Linked DNA regions of Lepisosteus oculatus. The protein of the gene in region 2 binds, or shares a complex with, the protein of the main gene of each other region. Links are inferred from orthologs where the notes say so. Each region holds a gene or a part of one and is shown on either strand. Other genes may lie near its edges.

The links.
Region 1: kat14 (region 2) and dr1 share a complex: the UniProt entries of both Homo sapiens proteins name them as parts of the ADA2A-containing complex. The link is inferred for Lepisosteus oculatus from reciprocal best matches to the Homo sapiens genes KAT14 and DR1.

Annotation. Positions count from the first base shown.
Region 1 is NC_090704.1:1,932,306-1,936,216, reverse strand, and holds the start of dr1 (protein Dr1), read right to left. Parts: upstream 2,545-3,911; 5' UTR 2,015-2,544; coding exon 1,795-2,014; intron 1,294-1,794; coding exon 1,130-1,293; intron 1-1,129. UniProt on the Homo sapiens protein: The association of the DR1/DRAP1 heterodimer with TBP results in a functional repression of both activated and basal transcription of class II genes.
Region 2 is NC_090712.1:562,292-566,202, reverse strand, and holds the start of kat14 (cysteine-rich protein 2-binding protein), read right to left. Parts: upstream 2,958-3,911; coding exon 2,687-2,957; intron 1,786-2,686; coding exon 1,664-1,785; intron 1,442-1,663; coding exon 1,320-1,441; intron 1,218-1,319; coding exon 1,036-1,217; intron 582-1,035; coding exon 162-581; intron 1-161. Other genes in the region: protein PET117 homolog, mitochondrial, read right to left, coding at 3,607-3,750. UniProt on the Homo sapiens protein: Component of the ATAC complex, a complex with histone acetyltransferase activity on histones H3 and H4. May function as a scaffold for the ATAC complex to promote ATAC complex stability. Has also weak histone acetyltransferase activity toward histone H4.

The DNA.
Region 1 (3,911 bases), on a different chromosome or scaffold from region 2:
GCGTTCAGACACTCCTGCAACGCACACCCCGCCAGCTCCACCGGCGTCCAGACACTACTGCAGCGCACACCTCGCCAGCTCCACCGGCGTTCAGACACTCCTGCAGCGCACACCTCGCCAGCTCCACCGGCGTTCAGACACTCCTGCAGCGCACACCTCGCCAGCTCCACCGGCGTTCAGACACTCCTGCAGCGGACACCTCGCCAGCTCCACCGGCGTTCAGACACTCCTGCAGCGCACACCTCGCCAGCTCCACCGGCGTTCAGACACTCCTGCAGCGCACACCCCGCCAGCTCCACCGGCGTTCAGACACTCCTGCAGCGCACACCTCGCCAGCTCCACTGGCGTTCAGACACTCTAGCCCACAGCCTCACAGCCCGCAGCGTTGGCTCAAGCTGCTAGGGCTCCGCTGGAGCTCCCATCTTCCTGTTGTGGACTTCCTGTGGCTTCACCTTCACCTGCAATCTAAACCAGTCTTGGCCCTACAGGGGCTGGGGCACGCAGCCGACGGGAGAGGCCACCCTGTACCGTACACTGCTCTGTTAGCCCTTCCACACATTCAACGAGATCGAGGTTTGGACGGGGCTGGTACTTTAACGTCACGGCACCAGCAGGACAAAGAGGATGTGGACCACACCGAAAGCTTCCCATTCCTCACTTCAGTAAGCGTGAGGACTGCTCCTCTGCTGAGGCGGGCTAAAGAGCGTTCTGACTATGAAGGCAGCACATCCACAGAAAATGAAACACCCGATCGAAGGTCAAGGCGGTGTCGAGTAGAGGGTGAGCCTTTGGACTCTTGACTGGCAGGCTATGGGTACAAGTCCCCACTGCAGAGCGCTGGTGTACCCCCAGTGAGGTACTGTAACCAGCTCTGCTCCACCAGGGTAAACCAGGATGGAGCCGTGGGGCTCTTGTCTGCATCATTCTACGCCAACCAGGATGAGCTAAAGCATCTTGGGTGTGGCCTCCTGTCATTTGTATCCTTATGTCCTCAAACAGCACAGAGCACTACTGCACGCATGATCCAGGAAGAGCAGACTCCCACTTGCACCACTGGGGCAGAGTAGCAGACCCCCCCAGCGTTGCAGTGACAAGGTGAGGAGACGGAATGCGAGTTTGGCGGCTTTACCTTGGCGAACAGCTCCTGCTGCTGCCGAAGGAGCTCCTCCTCAGGAATGCCGAGGTTTTCCAGGCGGGAGCTTGCCTTCCTCCTCTTGAGCGCGACTGTTTTGCACTCTTGCAACACATCTTTTACTTCGGTGATGTAGGAGGCAAAGCCCAGGCTCTCGAGCGCTAGACAAAACAGACAGTCCTGTTTTAAGACACCCACGAAAGTCACTGTTCCAGGTTTAAAGCACACAGTACCTCCGGCACCTCTGCTGTAATTCATGACACTAAGCATCAGGATTCCTGTCATTTCTCTCAGGAAGCACTTTGCTCCCATCATGTACAGAATTGTAAGGATCATGACAAAGCTTCGCAGCAGGGTTGGTCTGTCTGCGTTACATTTAAATAAATCCAGGAGGTGAAGGAATATGTACATCAGAGGGTTCGGCTGTACCCAAACCGTAGAACGCGTTGCCATAATTGTTTCTTGTCCCTTTAACAAGCAAGCCACACAATACAACAACAGTGTGTGAAGCCTCGCTGTCAAAGTCAGCGAGTGGGAGTGGTTTTAAGGGGGAGGTTAAAAACGAGACCCATTAGCAAACGATTTAGCCGCACAAATCTGCGAGCAAAACAGTTCGCCCCCCCAAAAGAGACTGAATAATAGGCATCGGTAACGACTCTTACCGTGTATTACATGCTCAGGAGAGATCGTTTTCTTTTCCGACTTGTTACAGATCTCGTTAGCTTCCGACGAAATGAGGTGGATGAACTCAGTGCAACAATTCACCACCAGCTCCCTGGCGTCGTTCGCCACCCGCACGTTAGGAAGAGTTTCTTTAATCATTTTATTAATAGCTGCCCGGGGTATAGTGAGATCGTCGTCGTTCCCAGACGAAGAAGCCATTCTGTCCTGCCGTCCTTTTCCCGAAACACTGAACCTCAGCTGCGATTCGACTCCACGGCGGCCCGAACGGAGTCTCAACTGCACCAACCTACAGCTTCTCCGCCAAACTCCTAAGTACACCCCAAATCCCTGCTTTTACATCAATGGCGCTGCACCCTGCACAGTGTCTAACGCTGTCAAAGCGACCTATTGGATTTTTCATCCACCAGAAAAAAAGCGTAGGAGAAACCAACAGGATCAAATCAGCCGGTCTCCAAGCAGATTTCCTATCGCCTCAGCTGCTATTTAATTTACACATGATCCTAAACTCTTTAGACTGGCTTCCGCTGCATTGTAATTCCACAGTTTCGAAGGGACTGTTTTTCTCTCTCTCTAATGTTATAAACAATAAGGCTTATAACACCAGCTCCGAGAATAACATAATACTTTTGTTAATTCATTTCGGTGCTCGGTCCACAGCACCAGGCGTTGAAGCAGCAGGGTTTCTAATCGATTCCGGAAGCTATCCCATATTGCAACGGGTGACGTTTTTCCGCATCCGGCGACGTCACGGAATGTTGCCACACAGCGACCAATAGGGGGAGTTCGAGCCAGAGGGATGCTCTGTGGCTGGGTCTGAAATTGCCCAGCGTGGAGCTCCCTTGAAGTCGGCTGACCTGCAGTATACGCATAGACAAACAAATGCATTTTTAACTCTGCGTGAGAATAACGTCCATAGCGTAGCCTAGAGGCTTATCAAGCCTGATCTTATCCTGAGTTCGGCAACAGTAAAAGGACTGAAATTACCCCCTTACAGGTTGCTACTTCATTGCAGGTTAACCCACGGAAATGCTGGACTCGTTTGCTCAGCTGGGTGGGTAGGAGTCGCTGCGGTGAAGTAACCTCCTTTGAAGGTGCAACAGCGGTGTTCCCGATTCACAGACCTGTACTCTGCGCCGCCCCCAACATCTACTTCGATCGCTTTCTGGCTGCCATGAGCTTTAGCGACACAGGATAATAATAATTCCTCGCGGTTATATAACGTTTGTTATCTAAAAGGATCTCACGTTATCCGCCACCTGGGCGATGCACAGTCAGCAGCCTTTTATCTTTAAAAAAGTTTTGAATATAGCAAAAAGTTTAATAATTTACTATAAATGTATACTCTGTAGAATGATAGTTAAGTTAAAGATGAGGATAGGTTAGTGTTCATATAAACAGCACTGAACTACACCACTGTGATTCTATAGATGGATTATATATAGAATATTCTATTCCAAGAACCTCAGTTTTATTTTTAAATATAATATTAAATTTATATTTATACAACTTAGTCTAAAGTCTTTAGTCTTAGTCTTTTTATTGTTTTTACAGTGACTATGATCAGCACATTTTGCACACACCTATGTATTTATTTATTTTTATTTATCTTGTTTGTCTTTTGTTTTATAACTATTCTGATGTCTGTTTTGCTTGTCTTGGGCTGGACTGCTGTAACACATCAATTTCCCTACGGGATTAATAAAGTATTATCTATCTATCTAAAGCTGTTTCTATAAAAGCTGCTGGTGTGCTTTTGATAGGTGTCATGTTTCTTTTTTTCCAAAGTTTTCTTCACCATTTGCCAGAAAAAGTACACATGGGCTTTATCTTTAGGATAGACACATTTCTGGTTGATTTTCCATTGGCAAGTGAAGTTACAGAGTAAGATTTACCAGGTGTCCTGCTTGATTGTTGCAGATAAAATGGCTACATATACAGAAGATTTGTGTTTGTGTCACTTAGATCTTTCACTGTGTTGTGGGATTTAGTTTCAGTAAATCCCATTACCAGGCCATATGTTTCTAGAGCTGGGCTTTGATTTAATTACTCAACAGTCTTTACAGAAAGATTTTATGTTAAGTAACCTATTGCCTTA
Region 2 (3,911 bases):
GTGATACAGCTGCTGGTCAGACCCCAGGGTCTCTTTCAAACCCCCTGTGTTTACATGGCGAAAACTCAAGCCCTTACAGACACCCATCGTCAGGAAGATGGAAAAGGCTCTCGGGCCCGGTCTGCTGCAGCCCAGCCGCACATGAGAGAGGGCAGCCTCACCGTGGAAGAGCGCCTGGGGGGGCATGACGTCCGGGATGAGGTCAGCCTCGGACAGCAGGCTGGGGGTGGCGGAGTGGGAGGCCGGAGTGCCGGGGGCGGAGAAGTCAGGCGAGGGGGACGGGGAGGGGCTGGTGAGCGGTGTGCGGTCCGAGGAGCTGAGGGAGGAGAAATCGATCACCTCCCCCTTCTCCAGCACCAGTTCCGGCCGCCGACCCCGGCTGCCGAACTTGACGGGCGTGGAGGAGGCGCTGCGGTCCAGGAAGCCGGCCGCCTCCTTCTGGGCCCGACGGATGTCCTTCGCCTCCTGGGTGCGCGAACGCTTCTCCTTCAGCTGCATGGCGCTCTCCACCGGGTTGCGCCCCCCGCGCTTCCTCAGGCCCTCCACCGTGATGATGGGGTCCAGCGGGGGCTTGGAGGGGGCTGAGGGGGCAAAACACACCACAGTCAGATGAGGAAAACGGCCTCCTCCCCCCTCCCCACAGACACAAGGGGAGCAGGAACTGAGCACTGACTAGAATGAGAACTTCTCCATGCACAAGTTCAGCAGTACAGGCAAAACAGATTTACTGCTGAAGCTTTCCCCAGGCAGGCCTGCAAGAAAAAGCTGGACCAAGACTCTTGCAGGTGTTTGTAACCTTGCTGATGTTTGGGAAGCCCATCATGTCAGGGTGAAAAAGTCCTTTGTCTCCCTTGATTGACTGCTGGCATTAAGCTTTGAGAAGCCATTTTCCAAGAACAGTTGATCAGCAAGGCCATATGACCTCTATCCAGACAGAAATATGAGATGCTGGAACAGCATTCCTTTGGATTGTTTTACTCCTGTGCTCCAGGCACATGCCTCAGCTCAGAACCAGAGGAGAGAGCAGCGTTTCACCTTTTGTCTTCAGCAAGGAGACGGAGGTCTTGTCCCCCTCGGGCCTCAGGGTGGGTGGTCGGTTGTGTACCAGCTTCCACCAGCCTGGCTCCCCAAACTCCTGGGCTCCAGAACGGAAGAACATGGGGCTCCCCACCGACAAACACCCCGCCACTGTGCTCCACCATGTGGATGTCTTCTTCCTGCACGGTAGAGTCAGAGGGAGCAGATCAGCCACACACACCGCTGTCGTCCGTTCTCTCTGTTTCCAATTGCCAGTGCTAGCAATTACCCCAGTGCCCTACCTGGATCCCAGAAGGAAGGTCCAGTGTCTCCCGATAAAGGCACAGATGTCCTCCTTCCACCGGAAGTAGCCCTGTCGGCCGGTGCCCTCCAGCGAGAGGTTGTACATGGCCAGCATGACCACCTGGAGGACAGGAAGTCATGACCACTTCAAACATCAACAGGTGTCAACAGTGTTAATAACGTCATAGTATTATATGGCCCAAAATCGTAAATGTCAGCATGAGTAATTATTTTTCTGGAGAGCTGAAATAAGACCTTTAAACTGGACTCAATCAGATGATTTGGAGCCTGGAGACCCTTGAGCAGTCAGGGGTGGCCCAGAGAGAATATCCCTGGTTCATACCTGCTGCCAGGTGAGCCTCATCCTCTCAAAGTGCTCCTTGTCATCCTCTGAGCACTCACAGCAGGTGAACTTAAAGAAGTTGTCGCCTTTCAGGTAGCTGGGCTGGTCTCCTCGCAGCTGACCTGGATGTTGAACAAGGAAGCTAATGTTCAGAATCAGCACAGAAAAATAGGATTTTACTTTACTTGGGGCAACCTTGGGCAACCTTGTTGTAAAAGGCGCTATATAAAAATAAATTGAATTGAATTACTCTAAGGTCAACGCCCTCCCAAGAATAGTCAGAGTTCAGACAGTGTGAATATGGAGCTGTGATGTCAACACCCTGTAAGTCTGTATGCCTTCTTTACTGTGAGGAACTTAACTTAGCAAGCCCCTTTACCAGTCTATGAATTAGCAATTTTATTGCAACATGAGGGTTACTGAAGGATGCAGATGAGAGCTCAGATCCCAGGAGCTGTCTACACAGGCCAGTCTTGAGCAGGTGCCGAAAGGTGGTCAGGGACCGAGTGAGCAGTTTTAATTTCTGGGGGAGGTCCACTCCACTTTGAGGGGTGAGGGTGGAGAATGAACAGACTCTAGACGTGAGGGAATGAAGAGGAGGAGCAGAGATGGGGTGGAGAAGGCTGAGAGATAAGGGACTGAAGACCAGCAAGAGCAGAGGCGCTGAGTAATCAGTGTGCAAGAACAAGGGCTTCGAGGGGGATGTGTGTGTTAATAAGGAGCCAACAGAGTGACTAGAGCAATGGAGTGGCAGTAGAGCAGGGAGGAATAGAAAGGACAAGGAGAGCCACAGAGGTGTAGCTGACATCTGTCAGAGTCCGTCATCCGGCTGGCTGAGTCAGAGAGGGAGTTTGGCCAAGAGGGAATTGAGTGCACTGGGGAGAGCTTCCCGGCTGCAGAGATAACCCTTCCCTTCTTTACAAGAGCCAGTATTAGACTGTAGTTTAAAAAGGAAAAAAGCTTTAAGCCCACAGTCACCATTACAGATTCGGAAGCTGGCAGTGAGCTGCAGGTGCGTCTCACCGGCTGGGATCCACTTGTGACACTTATCACAGTAGAAGGACATCTCCTCCGTCCAGCTGGAGTCGGGCTCGTCGCCGAGGTCGCTGTTGAGGGAATCCCCGCTGTGGTCATGGGAGAGGTCCACAGAGGCCTGGTCCTCTGACTCCACGATCAGCAGCGTCTCCCCCTCCACCTCCCCCTCCTCCAGCCCCTCCGAGGCCGAGGTGCGCGTGGCCTCGTCGTCCATCCGCTGGCTGGACAGGCCCCTCATCTCGCCAGATCCCCCGTCCATCGCTGGCACGTACTCGCTTGACAGGGGCGCTCTGGGCCGGCTGCCTGCAGAGCCCCACAACCCTGCGGGACAGGGGACAGTTTCACTCCAACAGATACATTCAGGAAACAAGATGCAACTGGCAAAGCAGGTCCTGCGCTGATACTACAGAGGAAGAGAGAGAATCAGTAATAATAGGATTTTATCCAGACCAGTGTTGCAACAAGGTCTCTCAAGGAGCAAGGCCTTTTGTAGTTCTGATGAGCTGAATGGCCTGTACACATCATGAAATTTTCTTACACGTCCCATGTAAAGCAGACTCCCACACCCTCAAGGAAACTTACTAAGTATTCCAGCTCAACCCTCAGTTAAATGATTGAGCCTGGGATTGAACAGATCGCTTGCTTAAGCACCACATTTTGAAATTATGTTTATCTGCTGAAAATTTCAAACAATTTCAAGTAAGTAACTGAGACCTTGACTGGAACTAAAACTTGAAGACACTTCTGGCCTAGAGCCCATCAACCACGTTCAGGTACACACACCTGGCTTGGAGGACAGAGTCATTCAGCATCGGCCACACAGGCCAGAACACCCACAGTCAGCGGACCAGCCTGACTCACATAAGCTGTTGGCGATGTCTGAGCCTCTCTCAGGGTGGCCTGCCAGTCTAGGAGCCCTGAGCGCCTGCTGCTCTCCTCTCCCGCTCCTTCTCCAGCTCCCTGGTCAGACTGATCTGCTCTTCCAGTTGCCGCAGGTTCTCCCTTTTCCTGGCCTGCCGCTCCAGGTCCCGGACAACACCCTCCCGAAGTCTCTGCCGGAGATGCAAGAGCAGCACGATCAGAACAAGAGCATCAACAGGTGGCTCTCACACTCCTTGAGACAACTCTGTTAGATTTGCAATTGACTTAACCCCTTAAACGTCTCTTTAAAGCACAGGAGGACTAGTTCATTCTTTTGACTAATTCATGTCAA